Sus scrofa: one gene and its partners. The main gene of each other region encodes a partner of the protein of the gene in region 3 in a complex. Links are inferred from orthologs where the notes say so. Each region holds a gene or a part of one and is shown on either strand. Other genes may lie near its edges. The genes, in order: PA2G4, SRSF1, ARVCF and DDX5.

Evidence for each region.
Region 1: ARVCF (region 3) and PA2G4 share a complex: the UniProt entries of both Homo sapiens proteins name them as parts of the ribonucleoprotein complex. The link is inferred for Sus scrofa from reciprocal best matches to the Homo sapiens genes ARVCF and PA2G4.
Region 2: ARVCF (region 3) and SRSF1 share a complex: the UniProt entries of both Homo sapiens proteins name them as parts of the ribonucleoprotein complex. The link is inferred for Sus scrofa from reciprocal best matches to the Homo sapiens genes ARVCF and SRSF1.
Region 4: ARVCF (region 3) and DDX5 share a complex: the UniProt entries of both Homo sapiens proteins name them as parts of the ribonucleoprotein complex. The link is inferred for Sus scrofa from reciprocal best matches to the Homo sapiens genes ARVCF and DDX5.

Annotation. Positions count from the first base shown.
Region 1 is NC_010447.5:21,492,313-21,500,098, reverse strand, and holds the start of PA2G4 (proliferation-associated protein 2G4), read right to left. Parts: upstream 4,103-7,786; 5' UTR 3,908-4,102; coding exon 3,820-3,907; intron 2,656-3,819; exon of another isoform or gene 2,535-2,655; intron 1,723-2,534; coding exon 1,594-1,722; intron 1,341-1,593; coding exon 1,235-1,340; intron 1,143-1,234; coding exon 1,073-1,142; intron 947-1,072; coding exon 854-946; intron 1-853. Other genes in the region: ERBB3 (receptor tyrosine-protein kinase erbB-3), read right to left, coding at 6,187-6,710, 6,895-7,189, 7,535-7,606, 7,766-7,786. UniProt on the Homo sapiens protein: May play a role in a ERBB3-regulated signal transduction pathway. Seems be involved in growth regulation. Acts a corepressor of the androgen receptor (AR) and is regulated by the ERBB3 ligand neuregulin-1/heregulin (HRG).
Region 2 is NC_010454.4:34,277,037-34,285,057, forward strand, and holds SRSF1 (serine/arginine-rich splicing factor 1), read right to left. Parts: upstream 5,083-8,021; 5' UTR 4,993-5,082; coding exon 4,799-4,992; exon of another isoform or gene 4,372-4,798; intron 4,364-4,371; coding exon 4,179-4,363; intron 3,833-4,178; coding exon 3,660-3,832; intron 3,457-3,659; coding exon 3,262-3,456; 3' UTR 1,329-3,261; downstream 1-1,328. UniProt on the Homo sapiens protein: Plays a role in preventing exon skipping, ensuring the accuracy of splicing and regulating alternative splicing.
Region 3 is NC_010456.5:51,404,481-51,411,359, reverse strand, and holds part of ARVCF (armadillo repeat protein deleted in velo-cardio-facial syndrome), read left to right. Parts: intron 1-646; coding exon 647-764; intron 765-1,139; coding exon 1,140-1,311; intron 1,312-1,824; coding exon 1,825-1,842; intron 1,843-2,774; coding exon 2,775-2,846; intron 2,847-3,891; coding exon 3,892-4,019; intron 4,020-4,211; coding exon 4,212-4,362; intron 4,363-4,460; coding exon 4,461-4,659; intron 4,660-4,742; coding exon 4,743-4,854; intron 4,855-4,949; coding exon 4,950-5,040; intron 5,041-5,324; coding exon 5,325-5,381; intron 5,382-5,717; coding exon 5,718-5,803; intron 5,804-6,288; coding exon 6,289-6,396; 3' UTR 6,397-6,408; intron 6,409-6,761; coding exon of another isoform or gene 6,762-6,788; 3' UTR 6,789-6,879. UniProt on the Homo sapiens protein: Contributes to the regulation of alternative splicing of pre-mRNAs.
Region 4 is NC_010454.4:14,569,393-14,577,410, forward strand, and holds the start of DDX5 (probable ATP-dependent RNA helicase DDX5), read left to right. Parts: upstream 1-3,338; 5' UTR 3,339-3,757; coding exon 3,758-3,936; intron 3,937-4,367; coding exon 4,368-4,533; intron 4,534-4,911; coding exon 4,912-5,008; intron 5,009-5,090; coding exon 5,091-5,224; intron 5,225-5,337; coding exon 5,338-5,403; intron 5,404-5,647; coding exon 5,648-5,789; intron 5,790-5,868; coding exon 5,869-6,029; intron 6,030-6,122; coding exon 6,123-6,295; intron 6,296-6,631; coding exon 6,632-6,742; intron 6,743-7,299; coding exon 7,300-7,361; intron 7,362-7,512; coding exon 7,513-7,572; intron 7,573-8,018. Other genes in the region: CEP95 (centrosomal protein of 95 kDa), read right to left, coding at 259-387, 2,102-2,120. UniProt on the Homo sapiens protein: Involved in the alternative regulation of pre-mRNA splicing; its RNA helicase activity is necessary for increasing tau exon 10 inclusion and occurs in a RBM4-dependent manner. Binds to the tau pre-mRNA in the stem-loop region downstream of exon 10.

The DNA of each region.
Region 1 (7,786 bases), on a different chromosome or scaffold from region 3:
AAATCGATGAAAAGTACCAAAAACAAACAAGAGCATAGAAAAGGAGCAACAAAAAGAGAAAAAAAGAAAGAGGATGCTCTAAGTATTAAATAGGTCTCTGGAAGCGTAAGTGTTAGAGAAACGTCTCCACTGGTAACACACCAAATTCATGAGAAGGGTGATCCCTGAGCTTCCTAATATTGTCACGCGAGGGCCTCCGGCCTCTCTTTGCCACTGGTTTATTGATACTATCATGAATCTTGTTTTATGAGCTTCTAAAATTGAGTTTCTACATATGTTTTATTGTATGCTATCAATCTCGAATTATTTGGGGGAAAGATGCACAACCAAAACATGAAAAGAGAAGGATCTCTATGGGCTCCATGAGGAAGGGGCCACATATCCCCTTACACCCAGCATGAAACCATGCATCCATCTAAGGCAGGCACTCAGAGTTAAATTGTTTGGTATTAAGCTCTTTGTTCCTGCCTCTTCTCTTTTAGAAATCCCAACCTAAAATGTAGCTGATTTTAAAAAAAGTTGTTGGGGAGTTCCCATCGTGGTGCAGCAGAAATGAATCCAACTAGGAACCATGAAGTTGTGGGTTTGGTCCCTGGCCTCGTTCAGTGGATTGAGGATCCGGTGTTGCTGTGAGCTGTGGCATAGGCCGGCGGCTAAAGCTCCGATTGGACCCCTAGCCTGGGAATATATAAACTCCATATGCCACGGATGCGGCCCTAAAAAGCAAAAAAAAAAGTTTGTTTTAGAAGGAGGCTGTAAGAGAAGTTGGCAGTTCAATACAGAATAGCTACATGCAGATGCCTCATGCACCCCTGGCTCTATCAGCCTTTGGAATTGGACTAAAACAGCTTACCTGGTTTCCAGGTTTAACAAGGCGTAGGGCAGCCTCAGCACAAAGGTGAGCTGCCTTAATGACATCTGCTTTCCGCCCTGTTACTTGGGTTCCCTGTAGATAAGGAAATGCAGTCAGTGCCTTCCTGGACCAGTCTTTAACTCAGCTGGTCATTCAGGTAATATCTATGTACCCTTACGTAAGGGCAGCCAGTGGTCAGGAGAGAAGCAGTTCACTTACCAGAGCTACATCAACCACAAAAGTGTGAGCCACATTAGCGATGAAGCCATCCACGTGGACCCCAAGGTCACTGAAAGACAAGAGCAGAGAAGAGCATTAGCAACCGGCACTACTGTGAATGCTTAGGACAAAGACAAGTGCTCTGAAATGGCTTAAGCTTACATTTTTACCAAGTCACCTTCCTTGAGAATATAGTCCTGGTCGCTCTTCAAAGGGGAGAAGTGACATACACAGTTATTTACTGAAATGCTGGTGGGAAAGGCAATACCTGTAAAGAGACAATCAGCCTTATTGCCTTGCGTGCTCTCTTAGAGGCCTGCTGCCCCTCAGAAAGATGAAAGAATTTTCATCAGGGTCTTGCCTAAGTTTAATCAGTTTGGATTAGATGGGAAACTGCTTGAATCCCCCTTATCATTCCAAATATCTCAACCAGTGCTGGAGCTGGGGGTGCATCATTATAATAAAACAAACAGGACTGAATAAGGGTCAAATGCAGGAAATTAGTGGGGGATTATTTTTACCTTTCTTCATTTCTTTTTCTTTCTTGAAAATTTTCCCTGTCTCTTCCATTATCATGGCATCCCCTTTCTCGCACAGGCTCAGTACCGACACACCTGAACAGGAAGCTTCCACCAAAGACCGAAGTACCCCTGGGAACAGAATCCCATTGGATCAGTCCTGCAAGTGTTGTCTAAGTTACCATCTAAGCAATACCTCAAAGCTAAACATTTCCTGGTGCCATTGCTTTAAGGATGAAAGAGAGAACAAGTTGTGCCTCTTGGGAGTTCCCATGGTGGCGCAGTGGTTAACGAATCCGACTAGGAACCATGAGGTTGCGGGTTCGATCCCTGCCCTTGCTCAGTGGGCTAAGGATCTGGCGTTGCCGTGAGCTGCGGTGTAGGTTGCAGACGCAGCTCGGATCCCACATTGCTGTAGCCCTGGTGTAGGCCGGTCGGTGGCTACAGCTCTGATTCGACCCCTAGCCTGGGAATCTCCATATGCCGAGGGAGTGGCCCTGGAAAAGGCAAAAAGACAAAAAAAAAAAAAAAAAAAAAAAAAAGTTGTGCCTCTTGGAATGTACTTACCTATCCATCTCTAAATTGCTACCTTCCTTTCCTAAAAAGAGCCAACACTTCCTTATACATTGTGACAACTGGTGACACTGTATGCACTGTCTGTCTCCCTAGGCAAGGCAGACTTTCCCAAGATGATAGCTGAGGTGTGCAGGACAGAGTCATGAACTTCAAGGAGGTTCTCAGCAAGGTATCCAACACACTGGCAAAGCAGACTGGGGGAAATTTATAGGCGTCAGGGACAACAGGAGGGCAGACATAGAATTGCTGACCCGAAGCTGATGCATTGTTAAATGCTACCTTCTTCCCTTCCCAGACACCCCAATTAAGTGTTAGTAATCTCAATATGTAGACTTATTTCTTTATATAACAAGTCAAGGAGACTTAACCTAAGGTCTCTGGGCTTCAGCAAGCTTGGGCTTATAGCTTTTAGCAGATCTCAATGAGGTATGTGACCCAAAAGAGTTTCCAACTGGTATCTGGAATCCCAAGTGCCTCAGAAGTTATAAACTGCAAGAGGAAAAAAAAGTTTTTCTGTTTTCAAACCACTAAATGTCCATTATGTTATAAAGCATTGTTCTGTTCACTGGATATCCTCTCCAAGGCCCAAAGTGAACTATAGGTTTGATTTTTGTGATCCAAGTTTTGGGGATTTTTTGGAAGTTTGAAAAACTCAGGTTTTTAGCCATAGGATCAAAGGCATCCTAAATACCTATCTTTACTGTCAAAACCATTTAAAAGCCCAAAGACAAGCATCTTCTGTCCCCTAACTGGGTTTTAAATCGCAAAGAGAGAAAAGAGAAAGTGAGACATCTGCCTAGAGTGGCAGGCAGCTGCTGAGAAGTCTGAGCGAGCCCCCATAAGGATAACTTCCGAGATCCTATAAAGTCAGTCTCCCCTTTACCAGTGCTCTACACAGGTTTGCCTGGTTGGGGTGAAAAGAACCTCAAAACACTCCTAGAGCTGTCAAACCCCTGAGAGCAATCAAATTTGACAACTAACTAAAGCTATCTGCGCAGATTGGAGATGATAACTTCAAGAACAACCAGATACGTCTCCAAGAGTTATGTTAGGGGTTCTCCAGGGGTACCCTCCAACGGTCCCTGAGCTGGCCCAAGAGTAGAAGGCGGCCCCCTCCAGGGAGGGAGCTGAAGTAAAGAACGAAAGACTACAGCAAAGCACGTGGTAGGGAAGCTAGTGTCAGGGACTGTAGCGGAGGAAGGGAGCCGGCGATCCGCTGGGGACCCGGCAACACGTGCCGGCTAGGCTCCTGACGGCGGGGAGCAGCGACAAAATAGAGGAGCGTTTCGTTTCCGAGGTGGCCTCCCTGCTGCCAAAATCAGAGGCAGAGATCCAGACAGAAGGATGAAGAGCAGGACATACGCCCTGCCTCCTTACCAAGGGCCTAGGGTCGGAGCCAGCCGGGGCCCCGCTCTGCGCTCTTCCCTGCCACCCGCCTGCATCTTCACAGACTCCAGCCCAGGCCTAGCCGCTCAGGTCCCAAACGCGATAACGAGCCTTCCCACCACGCCAAACCCAGCAGACCCGCGGGGGGCCCTCACTAGCCCACTCTGCATGACCCCACCGCTCCAGCCCCTCACCGGCTCGTCAAGCACCGTCCCCCTTGCCTCTCCCTCCCAGCCTCGATCTCCGGACCCCCGAGGCCGCACTCACGGTTGGCGATGTCGCCCCCCATCTTATACTTGGTCACGACCAGGTCCTCGGCGATAGTCTGCTCCTGTTGCTCGTCCTCGCCCGACATCTTCCCACCACCACCACCGCAGCCTCGTTTCTCCTGAGCCGCTGCCTCTGTCGCCCTTCCCAACCACAGGCTGTGGCCAGAGCCCCTTCGATCCGCGAGGAGAGCGCGAGCAAAAGCGCGAGCAAGCTAGGGAGCGGGCGGGCGAGAGCGAGAAACTGCGAGCGCGCGGGCTGATGCGCAGGGCATGCTGGGACAACGAGTCCCTCCCGCCGCCAGCCTCTAGCTGCCCTCGCGGACTCGCGAACTACAATTCCCAGCCTGCCTTTCGCGCCCCTAAGCCAGGCCCTGGGGCCTTGCCCTCCGAGGGCCTCGCACGCCGGAATCGCCAAGCACGCTGGGAAGGGTCAGGCTCCGGCGGGAAGGCGGAGCCGTTGGAGAGCATGAGGGGAAGCGTGGTCTCTCCCGGAAAAACCATATCCACCAGGAGCGCTGAGCGAGAACCCGTAATAGAGGGAGGCGGGCTAAGGGAGAAGGGGGCGGAGCTACGGCGGGGACGTGGGTTTGGAGGCTGCGGGGCAGGGTGGAGCAGAGACGAGTGGGGGTGATTGTATCAAGGGCGGGGAGGCTGGGTACGCCCTTCCTCGGATCCCTGGAGCGGCAGGCGGACCGGCCTGGCCAGTCCGATCGTCCTCAGGTGCTGGGAGGGGCAGAGCGAGTGTGGAAGGAGACCCGGAGTGCGTGGAGCAGGGACTAACTGGGCACCAGATTTCTGTGGGATTATCCATGTACAGCCTTCCAAGTCTAGAGGCCGGCTCCCTCTGAAGATGGCACTATTGTTCCAACAACAGGCTTTGATGGCACCTAAGACGGACACTTTTTTTTAAAGTTGTGAAACGTTTGAGAGTTTCAGTATTCTACCTCTTGGGGCCTTTTCTAACTGCCCCAAACGTGTTTTGTTTGGTTGTTTTGTTACTCCCAGTTAGTCGGTTGCCCTATACAGATTCCTAGTAAAACGCTTAAATGAAAAGGACTGTACCCTTTGCTTGTCTAAAGAGACTATAAGGAAAGTGGGGCTGGAGAAAGCTACAGGGGGCCAAGTAGGACTGTGGGGAGACAGAGAAGGAAGCATGCCATGGTAGCCATTCTCTGCTGTGGAACGGAGAAAAGGGCTGATCTGTCCACTCACTAAAGTTTGTCGTTAGACAAGAAGCTGCAAAACCTTGGCATCTTTATTCAGACATGTATAAAAACAAAACAAAAACTTGAGGGATAAAAACAGATACTCCCAGTTTCCCATTCAAAGGAACTGAGGTCTGAAGCCGGGTCCTCTTTTTCATCTCCACTGGAAGCTTCCCACTACTGAATGAGAACTGCTCCTAAAAAATGGCTCTGGGGACCGTCTGAGTCTGTCCCTTAGGCAGATATCATATGTAGCACACGAAGATTACGGTTTACACAGAGATGTCCAGTTATTTTTCCTTCTGTCCACCCCCTTACTCCCACTTGCTGAGATGAGCAGTCCAGGTGTAGGAGGAGGCTGTGGATATTGGGGTTAGACTTGATTCAGTGCAAACACAAGAAGACAATACCTCTTACTAGTGCTCTGACTTTCATCAGTTTTCTTTGACACCTTACACTAAGAGCATGGTGCATTGGAAAATTTTGAATCCTGGACCTGCTACTTGATTTACTTAATCTCCTTAAGGCTCAGTTTCCTTATTTGTAAAATGGGATAATGCCTAGCTCACAGAATTGGTGTCAAGGATTAAGTGAGATGGGTAAGTTTAGATGATACTTGGCACACAGTCAACGTTCAATGAACAGTAATCATTACTATATACTCCCAACCTCTTTCTTCACAAGATTTTTAAGCATCTCATTCTTTCTAGGGGGTTAAGAATCATAAGCCAAAAATCTCACTTTCTCCTGCCATTTTCCCTCCTTTCCTCTTCCTTAAAAGTCTGCTGGGAAACAAAGTCACACTTTAAAGCCTAGTCTCAACAAGTCAGAGTCTGAGAGAAAGGGATATGGGGAGGAATCCTTCATATCTCCAGGGAGTTCCCCTGAGAAAGTTGAGGAATAGGATTGGGAAAGAGCACAAAATAAGGAAAACTATCTCCTTTCCTGGGATTGGGAAAGAGAAGAAAGTGCACAGCTGGCTATATACCACAAGAACGTTGTGTCAACACGTTTAAGGCCTCCAAAGTTTGAATGGAATTGTCTGGGACTAGGGAAATGGCGCTGAGACCTGTGAGGGAGAGGGGCTAAAGAGAAGAGGGGTACCCTCTAGAGGCACTAGCTGCCATCAAATGCTCCCTGAGGTATTCAGGAAGCAGAGGTTATGTTCTCTGGGCATTAGCCTTGGGGAAAAGCCTGCTATGCCAGTAATCCGGGTTATCAAAGGCGGAGTCAGTGGCTTCTAAACTACGTAGAGTTTTGAGGCGGGCATAATGGACCTGAGGGCCATGGTGTCCAGGCCCCTGGAAAGCTCTCATTTCTTCATACCCTTGCTCAGCTGCTGGGCAGGCCTCCATGGCTGCATAATCCCCCCCAGGACCCCCTCCACCACGTCGCCGATTCATATATTCATAGTCCTCATCTGGAGTTGTGCTGGCATTGGGCATGGTGGGCACAGGGTTGAGTGGGCAACTCTGTGTGCTGCCCAGGGAAGCACTGAGGTCTGATCCCACATCCATGTACTCATAACCCAGCTCCTCGAGGGAACTTGGCCTTGGGGGACGAGCTGGACTGCACCTTCTCCTCCGGTTCATGTATTCATACTCCTCATCTTCTTCTTCTTCCTCGGTCCCCAGGACAGAACTGAGACCGACTGAAGAAAGGGTGCCTTCCCGGGAGGAGGTACCTGGGGGGTTGAGAAGAGCAGCTAAGTATGTGGAGAACTCCATGGAAAGAGGCAATGGGGTTGGGGGCGGTTAGGAAAAAAATGAATAGGGAGGGATATGATGAACGAAGACAAAAGGATTAAGGGGAGCCTGCAGAAGGAGGAGTAGAGAAAGATTTGAGGAAGCGACTAGGGAGTCAGGCACCTTTGAGGTGTGCGTCTGGCATGACATAACCATTGACATCCTCTTCCTCTAACCCTGGTGGGGACTGTGGGGTGACAGGAGTGAGCAGGCTGTGGCGCTGGGAATGGTAGGCACTGTCTCCTCGTGGCCGAGGGCTCCGGCTCCGGCTTCTACACATCGATACCTTCTCCTGGAGCTCAGCTTCAGAGCCTGTCACGTGGCCCTCCGATGACTCTGATGTCAGGCGTCCCCGTGGCACTGGGTGCAGAGAGGCTGGACGGGGGCACCGTTCACTACCCCTACAAACTGCAGGCTCCTAAGGAGGAGATTTACACAGAGTCAAGGGAAGAAGAGAGATTTGTTTAGGAGACTGGGTTGTTCAGTAGCTTCTGTTCTGTAGGACACTGATTAAACCTCAAAGTTTGCTAAAGTCTCCCTCCCACACTCCCGTATCAATCCTAAGACACTCTGCCACCCAGCTTCTCCATACCCTTTTTTTTTGGGGGGGGGCATGCTGAGGCGTGCAGAGGTCTGATGTGGGATCTCAGTTCCCAGACCAGGGATGGAACCTGGGCTGCCTCACAGTGATGAAGGTACCAAATCCCAACCACTAGACCGCCAGGAAATTCCCTTGGTATCCTCTTAAAGAGACAGATCTTACCTGGCAAGCCTCCCCAAGATTTCCCTGGTTCATAGGCATATATCCAGATGATGGGCTTACAAGGCTCTGGCTCTAGAATGAAAAATGTGAAGAAGTTTGGATTAAGAGAGAAGTCTATGTATCATGGTAGCCTTTGAGTGGTTAATCTGGACATCTGTGGGGTTCAGGAAGGCACAGGTGTGCAGAAGGTTCAGGGCGCAGAAAACCTTGGGTAACTGGAAAGCGCCTTACTGCACGTGGCCGATTAAGTGT
Region 2 (8,021 bases), on a different chromosome or scaffold from region 3:
TACTTTTGAACACTCTATTGAATACTAGAGCTTCTCAATGAATCTATACCAAGTGCTTTAAATATTTTAATGGACTCCTAATTTTGTACTTATCCCTCTTCTTCCTAACATTCCACAAGGTTCATTTAAATATGTTGGGTGACTATGCAACTCCTTGGGTCCATTTCCTCTACTACCAAAATTATTCCTAGTTTCCTAGGTTTGAAATTGTCACCTGAATAGCCATCTTTAATTCTGCTGCCAACTATAATTAATACCCAAGGAAGGTTTTACAATATAGCTATCTTTTGGGTGCAAAAATAAGAGTGGTTTGATGGGTGTGACTAGCTGTCAGGAAATCAGAAGAAAAAAAAAAGCAGAAATTCTAAATAAAAATCTCCTCCTCCAACTCTAAGTTGAAGATTTAGCACCAAGAGGCCATCAAGTAAAGATACAAAAACTAGTAGACTACAAAGATATAATCACTGCTTTGCTGTTTTGGATACAAGAATAACTTCCATGGTTGAGAAGACTTTCAAGGTAAAATTCTAAAGAACGACCAGCTTTGTATTAACAATGATTCGCTCAAACATACAGCTAACCTTCTAGTGTGCTATTCACATCTCAAAAAGAAAATGTTATTTAACAATTCTAATCTGTGCTGAATTTAGTATTTAATACTTACCAATTTTTCAGATGAGTTTGAAACTCAAAGTCTAAGTGCAACACTAGTCACCTAGTCATCACCAAATTTTGCACAAAACCCTATGCTGCCTATACGATCACTAAACATAAGCAGCCATCTATAAACTTTTAATCTTTTTTTTCTTTTCTAGGGCTGCACCCACAGCACATGGAGGTTCCCAGGCTAGGGGTCTAATCAGAGCTGTAGCCACCGGCCTATGCCACAGCCACACCAGATCCGAGCCGCATCTGTGAACTACACTACACCACAGATCACAGCAATGCTGGATCCCTAACCCACTGAGTGAGGCCAGGGATCGAACCTGCAACCTCATGGCTCCTAGTCATATTTGTTAACCACTGAGCCACAACGGGAACTCCTTAATCACTTTTTAATTAAAATACTGGAAGCTTATTTTTCAGAGACTAGATGACCCCCCCCTCAGTTACCATTACATACAGTTGGTGTATTCTCACCTTATCGTCCCCTGAAGACTTTTACAAGAATTAACAGTGGCTAATAGCATTTATTAGAAAACTTCAAAGAACCTTTAATTTACTAACACATAAACACGAGAATCAGTATCTTATAAATTTAAAGTGAGACTAGTTAAGTCACTCAGTAAAAAAAAATCTTACAAGAGGAAAAAGGACAACCATGCATAGTTTTTTAAAAAATGTTTATTTTTTTCAAAGAAAAATGGCAATAGCCAATTGGAAACCTACTTATTCTTCAACTCCAATTTTGTTTTCTTTAAATTTAGAAGTGACTTACTGATTTACTATTTTAAACAAACCCCCCCTTTCCCCTTTAAATGTTTACCATCTACTCGTGCTGAATCCTTCCAAGGAGATTGCTCCAGCGTTTATCTCCAGGTCCTCGCTTTGCTCCTTTTACCAAAAATGCAAAACACAATTCCATCGTGCATCTTAAGGGCTCCAATCGTCAAAAATAGGAAAAAAAAAAAAATCTTTGGAATAGCCAATTAAGTTGAATAAAAAAAAAAAAAAAAAAAAAATCCACACGAATGCGGTTTGGTTGGGGCAGGAATCCACTCCTATGTTCCTGGTAATCTGATCCCGCTCCATGAATCCTTGTAATTCATCCTCCCTATCCTATCCACATTATGATTTGAATCCAATGATCCAGCTCCAAGGATTGGGATCCAGTGAGCCCTCTCCAATCCAAACCTTTATAACCAGCAAAACCAAAAAAGAGGAGGCAAAATGTTAGATACTGTAATCAAAAAAGGTTTCTGGGGAATGATGAGTTATGTCTGTCATCAGTTTAACAGATGTACATCAATAACTATCAAATTCCCCAAAACAAGTTTCTGAATGGTGTTCAGATAAATTTTAGAAACTTAATCATCATAGAGACTAACTGGAAGAAGCATTTTATATTTACAGTTCAACTGATAATGCCAACACTTGTTACTGTACAGCGTATTACAGGTTTTGTGGTTGCAAAAAGTTATGTAGTTTAAAAGTTTACTGGTATTGCTACCCACCTAAGTCTAAACTAAATCTAATGCTCCCAACTGCAATTTAATTTGTAAATTAAAGTGTTTTAAACATGAGTCAATTATGAATATTAAAGGGGAACGTGAGACTTAAAAAGTATTCCCAACTAGATTATCTACACCAATAAATTGGAATTCTATTATTTTGCTTTCATTTTGTCTTAAAAAAATGAAGTAGCAACGCTATTATATCAGTCACACAGAGGACATGCAGATTTAGCAGTATTGATATTATACTCTATCTGGTTGGAATTAAAGACACCCTGTACCCACAAGTACACCAACAGCAGGTCACACATTAACAGTTGTAACTAAGCACTGTGACAAATTAATCAGTTCTTCCCACATTAGTCCCTAATAAAACAAAAAAGGGAAGGGAGCAAAACAAATTGTTACAAAATGGGCCATGTAATTTTGCCACAATTGCCAGAGTTTTAAAGAGTAAAGCAATTGTAGCCAAATATAACTGCATAAAATGTTTTCAAGTGTTTTAAGATAGATGTATATAATCACTTTAAACCCTTGCCTTTTAGTATAAGGTCAATACTGCCAATTTCATCTGTGACAATAGCACTTGGAGTCATACCATTGCCTCCATTATTGATCTGATCCTCCTCAATCCTCCTTTTGACAATCCTAAAATGATTGAAATGTGCTCCACAATCCTTAATCCAAAGCATTCTTAATCCATCTCTTCAGATATGTCTACAGAAAGACACATGAAAAGCAAGATAAACATAAGAACTTCCCCAGGTAAGATAACCACCAACACCCCCAACATCCCAGTTCACACAAACCAGAGCAGAATAGACATTTACACAGTATCACAGTCTGAAGAGCATGGAGAGTTAACTAAATTTAAACAATCCTGTCTATGACATCACTTAAAATACAATTTATCAGACATGAGGGGAATGTAGATGTTAGGAGCAAGGGGATATTACACAAGAATGCAATTCAACACTTTAGCCCACTCTGAACAAAAACAGTTTTGAATTAAAAAATGAAAAGATTGTACTGAATAAAGGAAAACTGTATACAACATGGGTTCTACAAAAAAGTGTCACCAATCATCTTATGTACGAGAGCGAGATCTGCTATGACGGGGAGAATAGCGTGGTGATCCTCTGCTTCTCCTTGGGGAATAACTGCGACTCCTGCTGTTGCTTCTGCTACGGCTTCTGCTACGACTACGGCTTCGAGATCGAGATCTTCCATAACTTGGACTTCTGGGCCCATCAACTTTAACCCGGATGTAGGCAGTTTCTCCCTATTGGATAGACAGAACTTTCGATTGAAAGATCTAAGCTTTCACCTGTCTTCAGGCATGCTGAATGAATCAACGTAACTCAAACCAGAAATCTGGCACTTTACTGGGTTTTTACTTGGACACCCTTGCCTGAATCTTACCTTCAAATTCCACTGTTAAGACCACTGTATCCAATTCTGGCCAAGGAAAAGAATATAACCTACCTCATGAGATCTAAACTTAGTGTTATCCAGTTTTCGAACTGCATAGGTCATATCTTCTTTCCGTACAAACTCCACGACACCAGTGCCATCTCGGTAAACATCAGCATAACATACATCACCTGCTTCACGCATGTGATCCTTCAAATCCTGCCAGCTTCCACTTGGAGGCAGTCCTGAAAAAGTGCGTTTTCTTTCAATACCAATTATCCTAAGTTTCACATTAAACATAAAGGTTACATTAAAACAAGACTTAAAACCAACGGTCTTTAACATCCCGTTTAACGAGCTGTTAAAAGAGTTCGGAATCAAGAGTCCAAAATTATTTGTAAAGTTAAGGCTCTTCTTATCTTCTAGGTACTGCAACCTAATTCGCTAAGTCTCAAATAGAGTAGTCCTTGTTAACTAAAGTCACCCAAGGCACTCCGGTTTAAGTGAAGACCTGGCATGAAAACACCAAGAAAAACTTCAAAACGGTGTGCGGTCCCCTTATCATCAATCCGCACGGACCCGCCAACTCACCAGAGACAACCACTCTGTTTTCAGAACGCCTGGATGGGGGGCCATAGCGCCCTCGGGGAGCCCCGCCGCCACCACCCCCGCCGCCGCCTCGGCCGGTACCACGGCCGCTTCGAGGAAACTCCACCCGCAGACGGTATCCATCGTAATCATAGCCGTCGCGACCATACACCGCGTCTTCTGCGTCTCTGCGTGACCAGAGAAAGCCAAGGGGTAAGGAAAAGAAGAAAAAAAAAAAAAAAGGGCCAGGAGGGGCGGCTCACTCCGCCGGGGAGCGAGCGGGCCCCCGCACATGCGCACCGGGGTGGAAGAGCCCACATGCGCCGCATAATAGGAACGGCCCCTCCCCCACCCAGAAGCACGCCAGGCTCCCGACCACTCCAGCAGCCCTCGGCGCCTCAGTTTCCCGCTCCGAGCCTGCGAGTCGGCTCTAGGGACGTCCGTGGGGCCCGGCCACCAGAGGAGCCACGCCGACTCGGCTCCTTACTCGACTCCTGCATGGGCGATATCGTCTGGCCCCCAACCCAAGAACCCACCGCCCCATTCCCCAAGTGAAGGCCCCGGAGCCTTCCCCAACTACTCCAACCTATTTCCTCAAGGCCGCAAGCCCCTGGCCGCCTCACCGCGGGTCCTCGAACTCAACGAAGGCGAAGGGCGGTCCTCCGCGGCGATTCTTCAGGTCGATGTCGCGGATAGCACCGTATTTGTAGAACACGTCCTCAATGTCCTTGGTTCGGATGTCTGGAGGTAAGTTACCCACGTAGATGCGGCAATCGTTGTTCCCTGCCGGGCCACGGATCACACCACCTCCCGACATGGCGGCGACGAAAAGCGCGGACTCGAGAACAGGCCTTCCCACCAAGCCTAGCGAGCGGGAGAGCGAGCCCGCAGCGACACCACGTCTCCCGCGGCCCCTCCAAAATGGCGCCTTTATCAGCTCGGCGCACGGATATGGGGGGGAGGGAGGAAGAGAAGCGGGAGGAAGCAGCTATTCGATCTCACTACGCACGCGCAAGAGCGTAACGGGTGCTGCGAGAGTGACGCTCGCGCAAGCGCGACGTCACCCTCCGCGCGAAGGGAAAAAAGTTCCCGCCTTCCCGATTTGTCGAGGGGTTTAATAAGGGAGTGACCAGCCTTGTGGCAAAATTAAATATAGAGCTCTCGTAAAAGGGGTTATTAATCTCTGTCGAATCCTAAAGAATCAGCAGTTTCCTCAGGAATGTTTCTCTCAAAAAAACGGCGTCTTGAAAGTATTTGGTGAAACCTAGCCTAAAGCTAGGTCCCACCATGCTCTGCGCTGTTAACGGCCTTTGGCGGGAAAGACTGCCGGGGGCGGAGTCAAAGGGGGAGGGACCAGGCGGTTGCTCCGGAAACACGGGCATCCTTGGAGAGTGCACCTCGTTCAGGAGTCGCGTTGCGGGTGAATCAACGCGGAGCCGAGACGTGACTTTGTCTTCCCGCCCCATCTGCGAACGGGCCGTGGACTGCTTGGACGACTGTCTAATGCAGGGGAACCTGGCTGAGACGCTTTAATAAATATTCTACGCTAAGTACCGTTCCACCTTCGGTTCAGAACTGACCTCAGTTCAACGCTCCTTGTGCTCGTGGCGGTAATTCCTGGCGGCATCAGCCAACCAGGACCCAGACCTCTGCTTCTTTTTTAAATCACCTATCGCCAGGGCCCAGCGCAGCGGAGAGGTCCAGTGAAGGTTTGCAGAATGAATTGTGTCTGTTATTTCTACAACGTCTTTCAAAGAACGAAAAAGACGCGCGCCCTCCTGTTTGTATTGCAGAATCCTGACGTTCCTTCCTTTTTTGGAACTCATTAGCAAATCTCTCAGGTAATATGAATGAGCAAAGTGGATGTGTGAGGATTTCTGTGACCACTGGAGACCGAAGTGGCGGCTTAAGGACTCATCTCGCCAGCATGTTGGTCCAGGGAGATAAGAACTTGTTACATTTTGCCACGGAGCCATCTGAAATCTGGATTTTTATATGAAATACTGGGATTTTAAAATATTAATGGTGAATTCAAATTAAAAAAAAAACCCTGTCATAAATATGCTGAAACAGGTCTGCACCCTGATTGAGAGGATGATTTTCTTCATTTTTATTTATTCGCATCAATCCCTCTCCCCAGTGATGTGATGCTGTTTACAGAGATACCAGAAAACGTTATTGCAATTGAATGGAGAAATCACGGAGAATATAAGGGGAAATTAAAATGAAGTCATGGATAAAGTTAATACACAAAATGGCTGCAGTAAAAATTTGTGAGTTCTAAAGATGGATTACAAATTTGACCCTAGTCATCATGGCAGTCACAGTAAAGAAGGAAACAGTATATTCAAGATCCAAAGTGCCTTAAAAAGATTTTTCAGAAGGTCATGTTTTCAGTTCTAAAAGGCGATTGCATGTATTTTAACAGTGTTCTCAGTAATCCCAAAATGCAAATTTAATTTGCTGCTCAACAGATTCACAGAAGATCTTTAGTAGTAGTCCTTGAAATCTGATGGTTTTCAAAACTGGGTATCGCACAGTTTTTTTGTCTTTTAGATCATCCTCCAATGATAGATATTTTTTTTCTTCCTGCGGCATGTGGAAGATTCCAGGCTAGGGTTAAAATCAGAGCTGCAGCTGCCAGCCTACACCACAGCCACAGCAATGCAGGATCTGAGCTGCATCTGTGACCTATGCCACAGCTTGCGGCAACGCTGGGTCCTTAACCCACTGAGCAAGGTTGGGGATCGAACTCGCCTCCTCATGGATACTAGTCGGATTCTTTTTTTTTTTTTTTTTTTTTTGTCTTTTTGCTGTTTCTTGGGCCGCTCCCACAGCGTATGGAGGTTCCCAGGCTAGGGGTCGAATCGGAGCTGTAGCCACTGGCCTATGCCAGAGCCACAGCAACTCGGGATCCGAGCCGCGTCTGCAACCTACACCACAGCTCACGGCAACGCCGGATCCTTAACCCACTGAGCAAGGGCAGCTACCGAACCCGCAACCTCATAGTTCCTAGTCGGATTCGTTAACCACTGTGCCACGACAGGAACTCCCAAGTCGGATTCTTAACCTGCTGAGCTACAACAGGAACTCCTCAATGATATATTTTTAAACCAAACTTTCAATTTAAAAGAAGACACTGATAATTTTTAAAATGAGAAGCTGACTAAAAGGGACACTATTTCAACAAATTTATTTAGTCCTATTTGGTTAGTAGCAGAAGAGATGAGAGGTTTTTTTTTTTTTAATTGCAGGTGTACAATGTGTTGGTTCTTACATTCAGTAGGTTTACTGAGCACAGTTTCTTTCTGTTCTAACTTTCTCCATTCACTTGTTGTTATTCAGATTTGTCTTCTGTTGATTAATATTAAGTTGATAAACCAAAGTAGTTTAAACATAAGTGCTTATAATTTCAAGGCATCTTCATTCCAGAAAAATAAGAAAACTATGAATTTGCTTCGATTTATTCTTGTCCAATTTAATGCAGCCATTTCTGATTTTGTTCAGGTATGCGGGTAGAATTTAGTATACAGTGAATAGGACATTCTTATTTCTCTATCAGCTTCTCTTATTTTATTTGAATGTCACCAAATTATAGGTTCTAGGGTCTATGACAAGGTCAGGAGCTAGCAGGAAAAGTCTGGGCGGCTGTTTATCAGATCTCCTAGGATGACATTAGCTGAAAATGATTACATTTAAGGGTGTGATCTTCTACTGTCAGTGTCCCAGACTGGCATGTTTTGGTCCACAAGAGTAAAAAGCAAGACAACAAATATCCAAACCATTTGTTCATTTGTTTGGGGCTGGGGGCGGGGTGAGGCAGTTCTTTTTCTTTTTCTTTTTTTT
Region 3 (6,879 bases):
CGTGTCCAGGGAAACATGGAAGACAGCCATCCAGGCCTCAGCGTCAGAGCCACATTACAGTTCCCTGAGCCCCTAGTTTGGGCCTGATGGGCAGTGCTCAGCCAAGGGCAACCCCTGAACAGTGTCTGGCCTCCTGTGTACCCCCAGCTCCAGCTCTACCCAGTTTCTTCCCTGTCACCATCCCAGCCAGGGGGAGGCTAGGATCCTCACCTCCAGTCTGATGTGGAGGGCTCATCTCACCTCCACATGACCTGTGCTCTCCCCTCCCATCCTTGAGGCCCTGCAGAGACCTCACAAGCAATCCTGGGTCCCCATAGTCCTGCCTGCCTTTTTGGATACCACCCCACGACCCTGTGTGGTCCCAGTCTTGGGCAAGGAGGAGCCCTAAGCTGCCACTGGGGCAGGGGGAGTTAGGGGAGCCCGCCACCGCCCCCCCCCAGATGCCAGGCCAGGGCCCCTTCTGCAGCCTCAGCAGTGGTCAGGCCATTGCCTCCCCTCATCCACTGCCAGACTGCTGTAATTCACCAATAACCTTAACAGTGTGGCATCAGCATGTTCTGCAGATAAAACAAGACCCCAAAGCTGGGTGGGTGCCAGGGGCGTCTGGTAGGAGCCGGAGTCACAGGGCTTGCTCTTGATCACCCAGGAATGTAAGCTCAGACGGTGCAGAGGCGCGGCGGCGGCTCCGAGAGTGTGAGGGGCTGGTGGACGCACTGCTGCACGCCCTGCAGTCGGCTGTGGGCAGGAAGGACACAGACAACAAGGTGGGCAGCAGGGTGGCCCAGCAGGCCCCAGGCGGGCTCAGCCTCTCAACCTCCCACAAAGGGTGGGGAAGCGGAGTGGGAGCCCTAAGCTATCTGGGCGGCACAGAGGGGAATGGGTGTGTGGGTTTGGGGCAGCGCCCTGGGAGTGGGCACCTCGCAGTGGCCACACTGTGAGGCCTGGGACAGGGTCCTATGCCCAGTAGGTGCTCCCCTCACCCCCTTCCGGGGGTTATCACCTGACTGGGCCCCTAACTCAGGCTTCCCATTCTCTACATCTGCGGGCCCTTGTGTTCTCACTGGTTGTGTTCAGTCTTCCCTGGGGGCCAGCAGCCCCGTGCCGCCCGGCCCTGCCCCAGCAGCCCCCTCTCCCCGCAGTCGGTGGAGAACTGCGTGTGCATCGTGCGGAACCTGTCTTACCACGTGCACAAGGAGGTGCCTGGGGCCGACAGGTACCAGGAGGCCGAGCCTGGGCCCCCAGGTGGTGCTGTGGGCTCCCAGCGCCGGAGGAGGGATGACGCCGGCTGCTTTGGTGGCAAGAAGGCCAAAGGTGTGTGGGTGGGACTGGGGTGCCACTCTAGGACCCCCCAACCCCAGCACGCTGAAGGCTCTTCACACCCATGTGTGTGAGAGTCATGGTCTGGGAGCCAAGGAAGGGGTGCTGTCCCGGGGCCCCAGCTGCAGGCCACACTGCCTCCATCTGCACTGGTGTCTGGACACAGGCCCTCAGCTTTCCCAGCTTGGAAGGTACCAGGACGGTGCCACCTCCTGGTGCTGGCAGAGCACCTGAAGGCCCTGAGAGCTGTCCCAACCCCTGATGCCAACTCCACCACGGGAGCAGCTGCCAGTGCTCCCCAGCAGCTTGGGGGAAGGGGTGTCTGTGCACCACCTTCACCTATGCTCACTCCCCTCCCCGCCTTTCCTGATCCCTGTCCCACTGTGTGCACTTGGCCCTCAAAAGTAACCAGGGTGAGATTCCCTGTGCCCAGTGCCTTCCGGGAGGGCGTGGGGTGCTGCTCGCTCAGGTTCCTCTCCTCTCTCCTGTGCTTCCCCGGCTGCCCAGAAGAATGGTTCCATCAAGGTAAGTCCCTGTTGGTCCTGCCCTGCAGGCCTGATGGGCACAGTGGGCACCAGGGACCCCCCTGTTGTTCAGGCAGCCATCTCCATGACAACTGCAGCACCTTCCAGTGTTAGGAAAGCCCCATCCATCATGGTCCCTTCTCTGGGCAGCTGTCTCCATGACAACTGCCTGGACACGACAATGGCAGGAATGTCAGCCCTGGACTGGTTGGGAGGCTGAGTGGCTGGGCTGGGCCTGGAGCAGGAGCCCAGGGTGGACAGGACCTGGGTGTGTCCATCCCCAGGGGCGCCAGGGATTTGAGTCTGTCCCTCTGATGGTTTGGGGGGTGTGGCTCAGGCCCCAGGAGGTGGGGTGGGGCCCTTGATCATCCAAATTCAGCTCTGCCACCCAAGGAAGGGGAGGTCCATTATCTCAGAGGCTGGAAGGTGGTGAGCTGGCTCTCACAGAAGTATGCAGGCCAGTGTGACAGGTGTTAGGAGTTGCTGCTGCAGGGGCCTGAGGTGGGGGGCTTGCCTTGCCCCCAGCTCAACTTCACTGTGTGACCAGGAGTGTCCTGACCCTCCAAGCCCTTAGCTTCCCTGTCTGCACCTCCCAGTCCCAGCCTGGTCTTCTGAGCCCCTCAGTTCATGTACGTGGTGGCCATGGAGTGACCATTGGCAGGGTCTGCAGTGCAGCCCCCAGCTTCTGATGAGGGATGAGTCCTGGTTGCTCAGGCAGGGCTGGGGGCAAGGCAAGCCCCCAGGGCCCACTCCCATCCCTGGGCTTCCCTGCTGGCCTGAACTCAGAGGAGTGCTCTGTTCTAAGGGCCTCCAGGGCCCAGTCTTGAACATGGGGGCACTTCTGGGTCCTGAGTTGGAAAGTCTGTACTCACCTTTCCTGACACAGCTGCTCCATGTGGGGTCCCCTCACCTCTCACTGCCCTTCCGTTCCAGGGAAGAGGGATGGTGAGGTGGACCATAACTTTGACACCTTGGACCTACCCAAGAGGACTGAGGCTGCCAAAGGTGAGTGGGGGGAAGTGGAGTCCATGAGTTAAGCTTTGTGCCCCCAAGCAGGCCTGCAGGGCTGCCGAGATTCTGTGGGGAAACAGGCCCAGTGGTATGGGGTTCCCTGGAAAACACCCTGGTCACCAGCTGAGGGCTCAGAATCAGGGTCTCTGCACAGGTCACTTACAGCAGGATGTGGGGGCTGGGTCCCGTAGCACATGAGAGGCTGGCGGGGGTCCCATTGAAGGGTTGGGCTACCCGGGCAGGGTCTCCCCTGCAAGCTGAGTTCAGACTCACTCTGAGGGGTTCAGAGCCTAAGGGTACAGTCAGATTCATCCTTCTTGCCCTGTCTGTTGGAGTCATACTGTGTGTGGCAGTGTTCTGGGAATCCTGCCTGAGAGGTGTGCCTCTTGAGCCCAGATGTCCCCAAGCAGGGTAGAAGGACCCAGCCAAGGGAGCATCACAGGCTATGGGACCAGCTCATGCAAATGCCCTGGGGGTGCAGGGTGCAGTATGTGCTTGGAGCATCTGGTGAATAGGAAGCTGGAGTGCAAGGGGCATGGGATATGAGGACTGGGAGGTGGTGGCATGGGGGTGGGAGAAGGTGATGTCCCATGACACAGCCCCAGTATGGAGATAGGTTTGGATGGCTGTCCCACCCTCATCCCTGGAGTACCACTGCCAGGCTGAGGCCTCAGTGAAGAGTGACCAGGAGTGGTTGAGCATCTCTGATGTGGAGCCCCCCATAACCATATATGTAGGGGTGTTGCTAGGGAGTTGAGACCTGTTCCTAGGGGAGCCGCCTGGCTGCTGCTTCCCTCCCCACCCTAGGCTGCCTGCAGGCTCCAGCTGCCAGCCAGGTCCCATTTCTTTGGCAGTGGAGTCAGAGGAAGAGTGACCTCCCCCAAACTTACTGCTGCCTCAGAGCCTCTCTTGATACCCATGTGAAATGGGAAAGCTTTTCCTCCTGGGTGGCCATAGGGGTGAATATGTTGGTGCTAAATACTCTCTGATAGGGGGTGGGGGGCTGACTGACGGTGGGGTGCGGGTGGTCTGCGCCCAGGCTTTGAGCTGCTGTACCAGCCCGAGGTGGTGCGTCTCTACCTGTCCCTCCTGACGGAGAGCCGGAACTTCAACACCCTGGAGGCTGCAGCCGGTGCCCTGCAGAACCTCAGCGCTGGCAACTGGGTGGTGAGAGGCCGGGCCTGGCAGGGAGGGGCAGAGGGAATCCCAGGAGGCTTCCGGGTGAAGGCGGGCGCACAGCACGGCTTTGTCCGGCGAGGGAGAAGGACTGTTAGCTGGAGGTAGCGGCCAGGGCTCAGGTAGGCAAGTGTCCGCATGCGGCGCGGCCGCGCTGAGCACACCCCCGCTGCCCCACCGCAGTGGGCCACGTACATCCGCGCCACGGTGCGCAAGGAGCGCGGGCTGCCAGTGCTGGTGGAGCTGCTGCAGTCGGACACTGACAAGGTGGTGCGCGCCGTTGCTATCGCCCTGCGCAACCTCTCGCTGGACCGGCGCAACAAGGACCTCATCGGTGAGGACAGGGACTGGAGTCTAGGGTCCGGACCCCCTCCGTACTCCTCGCGCCCCCCTCCCGCCTGCACTGGCGCGCCCTCACCGCCCTGCCCGCAGGGAGCTACGCCATGGCAGAGCTGGTGCGAAATGTGCGCAGCGCGCAGGCCCCTGCGCTGCCGGGAGCCCGCCTGGAGGAGGACACAGTGGTGGCCGTGCTCAACACCATTCACGAAATCGTGTCCGACAGTCTGGATAACGCGCGCTCGCTGCTGCAGGCCCGTGGTGTGCCCGCGCTCGTGGCACTGGGCTCGGCCAGGTGGGTAGGGGAGTGGCGGGGGTCAGGGCTGGTCCCCCAGATAGGCGGGGCGGGGCCAGACGCTGACCCCGCCCCGGTCGCAGCCAATCCGCGCGGGAGGCGAAGGCCGCGTCCCACGTGCTGCAGACCGTGTGGAGTTACAAGGAGCTGCGTGGTGCCCTGCAGAGGGATGGCTGGACCAAGGCGCGCTTCCAGGTGAGGCCGCTGGCCCTTCCTCTCTCATTTTGCCCGGATGGGTCCCTCACGGGAGCACCGCTGACCCACTCTGTTTATGTATTACACCACTGCAGTCGACCGCTGCTAATGCTAAGGGGCCCAAGGCAGCTCCGAGCCCCGGAGGCTTGGACGACAGCACGCTGCCGCTGGTGGATAAGAGCCTCGGTGAGCACCGGGCAGGGCCCATCCCCAGGTTCAGGAGTACCTGCCCACCTGGCAGAGGCAGGGAGGGAAGTGGGTCCCCTCCAGGAAGATGGCCCCGCCCCCGCCCCTCCCCCTCCCGTCCTCCATTCTCTCTATGATGGCATCAAGCTGGGGGTAACAGTGCCAGCAGACAGAGGCCTAGCAGAGTGGTGTAAAGATGTTAGTGATAAAAGGTACCCAGGGTGGCAGAGGCCACCGGTAGTCCCCCACTTGCAACCAACCAGCCACCTGCCTGTGCTTTGCAGATGGTGGCGAGAAGCCAGGCAGCCGGGACATGATCCCCATGGAGGCACTTAGTTCGGGTGAGTGCAGGTGCTGGTGTGCTGTTTGTTTACCACGTGGCAAGGTGGGTTTGGAAAAGAGATCTGGTTTAGAGGTGCTCAGGAGTGAGGGCTGGGGCAGCCAGTTATGGTCACTGCCCAGATGTGCCCAGTCAGCCAGCTGAAGGGCGGCTGGAGAGTTCTGAGCCACTGTGGGGGAGTAAGCGAGAGGCTTCAAGGCCCCACTGTGAGAAGGCCTGATTCAGAGTGGGCAGTTGGAGGGCCTCTCCAGATGCACCCAGGCCCAGGGCCCCTTGCACCAGGACATTGGTTTCTTGGTGCCTGCTCCAGAGTTCCCTTCCTGCCTACACCCTGCAGATGGGTACTCCACCGTTGACCGGAGGGAGCGGAGAGCTCGAGGCAGTGACCCTACAGGGGAGGCCTCTGAAAAGGAACCGTTGAAAGTAAGTGGCTGTGGGCAGGTGTCCAGGGATTGCCTTGGGCCCGGGGTGGGACTCACTTGCAGGCCGGCCACTGGGCCAAGAGACTGGTTCAGGGAGTGGCCCTTCTGTCTCAGCAACCTCCCATTGGAGCCAGCCTGCGGGTGCAAGTGGTTGGAAGCTCATAGCCACTGGGAGAGAGGAGGCACAGGACAGAGGGCTGTTGGGGGAGCCTGAGCAAGCGTGTCTGCATCCCTCCCTGCATGCGTGTGCGTGCGATGGCCTGCATGGCCTCGCCTCCAGGGCAGCCCTTGATGCCTGCTCTGCGCCAATGCTTTGGGCACAGGACTCTTCTCAGCCACACTCACTCAGCAGCTCTGAGCCACACTTGCTCAGCTCCCTTTGCCCCCAGCCCTGCCCACTGACCACTCAGCCCCCACCAGCCAGCCCTGACTAACCTGCCTTGTTCTGCTTCTAATGCTCTCCTGCCCACTGCCTGTCTGCTGCAGCCCAACCCCACCAGGAAGGTTCCTCCTCTGGGGCCCAGCAGGCCCGCGGTCAGGCTGGTGGACGCCGTGGGGGATGCTAAGCCTCAGCCCGTTGACTCCTGGGTCTAGTTTGCATGCCGGGTACGTTTGTCTGACCTCCACCCACCCGACCTTGCCTATCCAGGCAGGACCTCACCTCGCTGGCTGTCTGCTCTATTCTCCCCGCGCGCTCCCCGCAGGCTGGCCTTGAGCTCAGCGGTCCTGTAAAGCCACGGGAGGGATGAAGGGCCAGAGTCTAAGAGGGAGGAGCTATCGGGTCCCGGAGGGCATGGGGCCAGATGGGGCAGGGGGTGGGGTCCCTCCACACCTTCGAACGCCCCAAGCACGGTCCCATCCTCGAGGACCTGCAAGTTGGGGGGCAGCTGCCCACGTCTGTCCACACCTCCATTCGCTCCACTTCCCGGTTCGCTCAGCCCGCCCTTCTCCCTTCTCAGGGTCTGGGCCCAGCCTTTGGTTCCTAGGATCTGATCTCCGAAGAAGGGACATCAGCGCTGGCCGCGCAGAGCCAGCTGTGGAGCTCGGCGCCCCCTGGCGGCGGGGGCCGGTAGCGCC
Region 4 (8,018 bases), on a different chromosome or scaffold from region 3:
ATGAAGATACATTTACAGAAAAGGTGTGACTTTCACAGAACATTAGGCATGATTATTAAACAGTGGATGACCAAGGCTGTTGTTATAGATGGTTAGCATAGGTATTAAAACAATGAATGCCTATAATTAGATATAACTAAGATGCACACAAAGAGAAAGCTTAAGATTTTATATATGCTACAGGACATAACTAAAAGCACCGGAAACTTCCAGCCTCTGATACAGATACTATTACTCCCAATTTTTTAGTACCCTTACCTGGTACCTTTTCTCCCAAAATGGATTGATAAAGAGCAATAAAAACATTAGCATCACAATCTTCTAGTTCTCTAATCCTCAGGTGTATGTGACATTTCAAGAGAAGATTATTGGCAACAGTTACCCAATCTGTTGGGAAAGGAAGGGAAAAGATCAGCCTAACTGCAAAGAGTATATACGTTTATTTAAAAAACCTCACAAAAGCAGACATTGTATTCTACAGAAAATAAGAAATTCGATTGTTAGAGAATCTCAGACTGTCCTAGGCATGATTTTTTTTAAATGTATTTAATTTTTTGGGATGATTTACAAAATGCTATAATTTCAATGTTGTCGAAACTATCATGCAGGAATTCTCATTGTGGCTTGCTGGTAACAAACCTACCAGCATTCATGGGGACCTGGGTTCAATTCCTGGCCTCACTCAATGGATTAAGGATCCAGCATTGCCCTGAGCTGTGGTATAGGTTGGGGATGAGGCTCAGATGCTGTGTTGCTGTGGCTGTGGTGTAGGCCAGCAGCTGCTGCTCTGATTTGACCCCTACCAGGGAATGTCAATAAGCTACAGGTGCAGCTCTAAAAAGCAAAAAAAAAAAAAAAAGGCAAACAAAAAACCCACAAAACTATGATGCAAACTCAATTTTTACTGTTCCAAACTAAAATCTCAAATTACTCTACACCTTATTTTAGAAGCTATACGTAGATTTTTATTTAAAATATATTTACAAGAAGTCAGGAACATTATCTCATATACGAAAGGTCACCAGAAACTAATTAATAGATGTTGCTTCAAAATCCCAATAGCATTAGTCATGATGTTACCCAATTATCTTGCCCAAGTTGGAATTTCTCTGGTGCCCAAATAAGTGGTGATTAACTGAGGCTGTTAAGAACTGGAGTAATGACACCAACACTACTGCAGTTTTTAATTTTTTAAATTATATTTTGTGCACATGAAAAGAAATATGGTAAATACACAAAAACGTCTCTACATTCAAAATTAGCACATTACCAATACTGCTGAAGTTTCCTGCTGTCACCCTCCCTACCCTAGATACTGATAAGATGAGCAAAGTTATTTCAAGAGTTTGTCGGCCAAAGGAAACTTAGAAAAACCTGAAACAATTTGCAATTGACGGGAACGTTCTTTTATTCTGTGTGCGTTCTCTTAAGTATGTTCTAGAAACAAGTGCGAGTTTCCGTGTGAAAGCGTCTTCAAGGCATGTTATCTCCCTCTCCCAAAGTTCAGTACTCACAGCTGACCAAACCATGACAACAGGTTTGAACGCTGTCTTGGAGAAAAGGATGAAAGCGTCCTAGACAACCAAATCAATTCGCCTTTCAAAAGCGGTACTAGACAAAGCGAATGAGTCTAGAGATCACAGAAGAGTGAAGTCCACCACGGTTCTGCTATTGGCCGGGGGCATCAACAGATCTTAAAGAGGGCCGGTCCTCCAATGTTCAAATAAAGATGCAGGTACTAGCTACCTCAGTCCTCGCAATGCAAGAACTGCAGGCACAGTGAGTGGGTGGATTCCCCAGAAAAATACGAGTCCGGGGAAGCTACGCGACTGCCCTTTTCGCAGCCAGGTTGCGTGCGCTACGGGCCTCACCGCAAGGGCCCTTCTAACCCACCCCCAAAACCGCACCCCACAACCCGGAAAGAGCCAGGGAGCGGGGATGAGACCCTACCCAGAGAGCCCGCCAACTATCACGGGGTGTCACCAGCCCCGCCGGCCGCCCAAACCCGCCCGAGGCCTCAAGGTAAAAGTGGCAGGGACGTTAGGGGATTTAGAGAGGACGACTTCGTCCACACACACCGGAGCGACAGGCCGAGACTCACCAGCCTCTGAGCCGGCCATGTCGAGAAGGCAGGCCGCTGTCGGACTCTTGGCCCGGTGCGCGCGGGACGGAGCTCAGGGAGGGCCGCACGCCGCAGACCCAGTGCTGACAGGAGGGGGAAGCAAACGAAAGTGCCGGGAAGGAGGGATTAAAAAGGGAGGGACGTTAAAACCGCTTCTCGTTGCTGATTGGTCACCACAGGACCACTTCCTTTCGCAGCACGCGCTGGGGCGGCGGTTTGCGAGCTCTAAATACCATTCTCCGCCGACCAGATCCCGCTAAGGAGTTCTCAGGTGGGTGGGTTTAACAGCCCCGCGGGTCAACCAGCCGACCTGGCCGGTCTCCCCGGGCAATAGCACTGCACTTCCGGCGAGCGATTTCGTTTTGTACTCCTCCGCCGACGCCATCTGGAAAAGTAGTGCGGCCCGCTCACCCGGTGGGCGGGGGGGGAGTCACGTGACAATGTCAGGCTCCGCCTACCCGTCTCGCCGGGTTGTGGGCGTGAGGGCCCTTTGGAGACGTAAACATTTCCAAGAGAACCAAGTGGCTTGGTCTGGGTGGGCCATTTCATTGTTCGTGCTGGACCTGAAAAAGGGCGGGGCGACTTCCTTGAAGTGTGGAAGACAAGGAAAAGGTGAAGTCAAGAGAGTAAAAACTGAGGCTTCCCAGTAGTGGGTGGATGGACCCACCCTTGAAAGGAGTGAAAAACGGGAGGGATGGTTTGGGTGGGGGGAGGAGAAGGAGGGGCGAGAACATGGCGGATTTCGGAACGCCCGCGGGCGGTGCGGCCTCGGCGCAGGGGCGGGGTGATTAGGTCATAGAGCAGCTCCCAGCGTTCTCTGCGGCGGAGGAGGCGGTCCAGGCTATAAAACCGGCTGCCGGGACGCGGCCGGCACCTCATTCATTTCCACCGGTCTCTTGTCGGGCAGCTTGGGCTCCTGTCATCGCCGTCCCTCCGCCGCTGCCGCCCCCGCAAGGCTTCGCCGTCGTCGAAGCCACCTCCAGCGACTTGTCGCACCCGATTCTCTGTGCTTTGTTTCCCGCCAACCGCAACCATTGACGCCATGTCGAGTTATTCAAGTGACCGAGACCGCGGCCGGGATCGAGGGTGAGTGTGGGAACTGACCTGTCAGGCCCTGTGGGTGGGGGATGGGATGCCGATGCGGGGGGGCGGGGTGGCGACGGGAATTCGGCTTCCTCAGCCTATGTTTGGGCCTCGTCCCTCAAAGGCTTGCGCCATTTTGATATTTTTGAAACTGCCTGGGAGTTTCATGTTAATGGTTCTCGAGATCTCTTCTTTTGTCTGGGATGGGGCATCGCGGCCTCGATGATTTATCAGCTCTTGGGAGAATTCCAAGGAGCGTATTTCGAAGGGAGGGGAGCGCAGCGCTTCGAGGCGGACGAAATCGCTGCTGTTAGGTGCAACCTTTCGGAAGGTGTTTTGGGGGCCCCAGGAATTTTGTGGGTGGCGAGGGGGCCGTCTCCGATGCCGTTATTGCGGCGGGGGCAGGACGGTGACCGGCACCGCGGGAATCGGCCATGTGGCTGAGCCGCGGGTACAAAATGCCGGCATCGGACATGGCGGCGGCGCCTTTGTTACCCCGCCCGGCGGAGGAGCTCAAAATGGCAGCGTCGAGAAAATGTGGCGCAGAGAGAAATGCGAGACAAAGGGGGAAGCGCCGCCCCAGCGGGAACGCCGCCCGGCCGACTCCGCCCGGCAGGGACTCCTCCCCCGGTAGTCTCCAACGCCTCCTTTTCTTTTTCCTTACGTTTATATAATTTTGCTACCTTGATCGCGGTCCTTTCTGGGGCATCTCTCCAAGTCATTCGGCTTGCGTAAGTGTCCGCGAGATAACCCACCTTTTTCTGCTCTGTGTGCTGTTCCGTTATCTATTAAAATCAAAGCTCCTTTGCTTGAGAACAGCTGGTAGATAACATCGCTGTTAGGCTTATCCTTTCTTGTCTTTCTCTCAGATATTTAGTTTTTAAGTTCATGGGAGAGATTAGTAGCCCCAACTATTGACGCTCCTTGTAATCTGAACTTCTGGCATTCGGGCAGCCACTTTCCGACCTGTGAAATCCCGGGCTGATGATTTGGGTTCAATGGCGTGTACTTGGTACAACGGGAAATGAAAAGGATGCGGTGCTAATTGTGGCTTTTGAGAGAATGACCGTCTGTTCCACCTGGAAGTCTTTGATATTTAGCATGTGCCAAGGGGTGGTTAATATGTCTGTACGTGTTCGAAGATGTGACTTTTTAATTTCAGGTTTGGTGCGCCTCGATTTGGAGGAAGTAGGGCAGGGCCCTTATCTGGAAAGAAGTTTGGAAACCCTGGGGAGAAACTGGTTAAAAAGAAGTGGAATCTTGATGAGCTGCCCAAATTTGAGAAGAATTTTTATCAAGAACACCCTGATTTGGCTAGGCGAACAGCAGTAAGTAATTTCATGTGGTTTCTTCAGGCTGTAATTCAATAATTAATAACTTTGCAGTGAATCAAAATCTGACTAGAAGTTCCCTGCACATAACTAAGTTTTGGGGAACTCATGCTGAGTAAGTAAGGATCTTACTTACTTTGGGGAAGAGGAGTTACTACTCACTTTTGGAGACAAGTGACTTTTTCTACTTAAAATGGTTGGGTGTAACGTAATAAGTGGTTTTTGTTTGTTTAGGGTTTTTATATGGATCCAAATTTTAAAAGGCCATCTTAAAGTAGTTAAGTCAATTATGAATTTAGGAGCTTATTGGTTGCATTTTCAGTTAAGGGGAGTTGTCATGAGAAGACAACTGGATTTTTGTAATTTGTTTTGTAGCAAGAGGTAGAGACATACAGAAGAAGCAAGGAAATTACAGTTAGAGGTCACAACTGCCCAAAGCCAGTTCTGAATTTTTATGAAGCAAACTTTCCTGGTAAGTGCTAGTTTTCCCTACCTTAAAAAAAAATTCTTTCTCTCGGCATTTCTAATTTTAACTTACTTGTTTATGATTACAGCAAACGTAATGGATGTGATTGCGAGGCAGAACTTTACTGAACCCACTGCTATTCAAGCTCAGGGATGGCCTGTTGCTCTAAGTGGATTGGATATGGTTGGGGTAGCACAAACTGGATCTGGGAAAACATTATCTGTAAGTTGGGCAACTTGTAATTCTGTGTCGAGTGATTGAGGAAATGGGTTGGAAGTTAAAAGAAACCAGAAATATTTTAATGTGTAACTTCTGTTTGCCCCTTCTCTGAACAGTATTTGCTCCCTGCTATTGTCCACATCAATCATCAGCCATTCCTAGAGAGAGGTGATGGACCTATTGTAAGTATACCTTAAGCTTTGTTTAAAAGTACAGAGATTTGTCCAGTAGAAAGCAAATGACAATTTGTGGTGATTTTAAGTGGAGACGTTAGCTGTTTTGTACCATTTATCTGGAAACAAATCTGCTCTAGGTATTGGACAGCAAAATAAGTCATGTGCTGCTGTAACACTGATATATCATCACTTCAAAAGTAGACTCCGGAACTCTGCTGAAAGGTATTCATTCCACTTTCTCTTTTCTTAGTGCTTGGTGCTGGCACCAACTCGAGAACTGGCCCAACAGGTACAGCAAGTAGCTGCTGAATACTGTAGAGCGTGTCGCTTGAAGTCCACCTGCATCTACGGTGGTGCTCCTAAGGGACCACAGATACGTGATTTGGAGAGAGGTACAAAACAGAAAGTGTTTGATTTGTCACTGGTGGTGCTAAAATTCTAGATGTCTTGGTTACATTTTTGTGTTTAAAGGTGTGGAAATCTGTATCGCGACACCTGGAAGACTGATTGACTTTTTAGAATGTGGGAAAACCAATCTAAGACGGACCACCTACCTTGTCCTTGATGAAGCAGATAGAATGCTGGATATGGGATTCGAACCCCAAATAAGGAAAATTGTGGATCAGATAAGAGTAAGTACTCTTTAAATGTGTCTATCTTTTCAAACTTTGCTCTAAATTTATTCTTAGAATACAAGGCTTTTTCTTTATTCCAAAAATCTTTAGCCTGATAGGCAAACCCTCATGTGGAGTGCTACTTGGCCAAAAGAAGTAAGACAGCTCGCTGAAGATTTCCTGAAAGACTATATTCATATAAACATTGGTGCACTAGAACTGAGTGCAAATCACAACATTCTTCAGATTGTGGATGTGTGTCATGATGTGGAAAAGGATGAAAAGTAAGTCAGTCTTAATAACTCTAAAAACAACTTTATTGTACAAATTGAGTCATGCATTTATAGGTTACCTTAAACATGACTTTCAGTCATACTGGAATCTGGCTGTTGAAATTGGTCTATTCATTGTTCTGAAAATTGTTTTGCTTCCTTTGTTCATGTAATTGGTTGTCATCATGTTTCTATCATCTATAGAAAAAAAGATCTGTCTTAACAGGGGCAAGACCAAGGATAGACTGTTTATACGTTTAAGCAGGTGTTTGACTTGTAGCCATATGAGTTGAAGTTAGTGTTTTGCTGACTATAACTTAGAATTCACAATTTTTTGTTTCTTTAAAGACTTATTCGCCTAATGGAAGAGATCATGAGTGAGAAGGAAAATAAAACCATTGTTTTTGTTGAAACCAAAAGAAGATGTGATGAACTTACTAGGAAAATGAGGAGAGATGGGTATGTGGGCTTCCTCCATTGAAGCAGATGTATTAATAAGAGCTGAGTTTAGGGGGAGGGCAGAAACTTTAGTAACGTTAGACTTGAGGTGGGTTGTTTTTTTGTTTTGGTTTTTTTTCCTTTTCTGTTTTGTTTTTTGTGTTTTTAGGGCTGCACCTGCAGCAGCATATGGAAGTTCCCAGGCTGGGGGTTGAACCCGAGCTGTAGCTGCTGGTTTACACCATAGCCACAGCAATGCAGGATCTGAGCTGTGTCTATGACTTAGACCACAGCTCATGGCATTGCCAGATTCTAACCCACTGAAAGAGTCCAGGGATTGAACCTGCGTCGTCATGGATTCTAATGCAGTTCATTACTCCTGAGCCATGAAGGGAGCTCCTGATGGATTTTGACTTTCATCAATGGGGATAATCTGATGGTATAAATGAGAGCGTAGATACATTATTTGAAATTAAAAGGATCTTTGACCAAAAATGTTTATGTGCTTAATTAAATTCTGACAGTTAGACTTTGATGTTTAAATGTGAGTGTATTAATACAACTTCTCTTTAATTTAGGTGGCCTGCCATGGGTATCCATGGTGACAAAAGTCAACAGGAACGTGACTGGGTTCTAAATGGTAAGTATTTCAAGTGAAAGGTTCCCCACCACCACCAGAACCTAAATTCCATTTTGGTCAGTTATTTTCGTGTGTGTGTGTGTGTGTGTGTGTGTGTATATATATATATATATATATATATATATATATACTTTTTTTTTTTTTTTGGCAGAATTCAAACATGGAAAAGCTCCTATTCTGATTGCTACAGATGTGGCCTCCAGAGGGCTAGGTTAGTACAAACTCGAATTCATGGCTTGGTTTCCCAGAAGATCTCCATTAATTTTTTAAAGAAAGTTTATTGCTTTCTTTAACCTCTGCATTTTTTCCAAGTTTTTTTCATATAAAGGTGCAGTCTTTGTGGCAAGGCCTAGGCATGACAATCGGAGGACTCGAGGGGGATGGAGGACTAGTGATCGGCTGGCTGCTTCCAGTCGATTAGAGAGGTGAAAAGCTGAAAGTGTGCCAGTAATCTTCAAAAGGCAGAACATACCACCTCTGCCCCGTAAACTGTTCTCTCCGGGGGAAAAAAATGGAAGTTATCCTCACAGTTCACTGCCGTGGTATTTCTTCTGTCCCATGCTTTGCATGACTGCCATGGTACAGCATTGTTGCAAACTGTTTACTGTGATCTGTGGGTCTTTGAGTTTCAGTGAGTTTGCTGAAATGTCGAAGAAA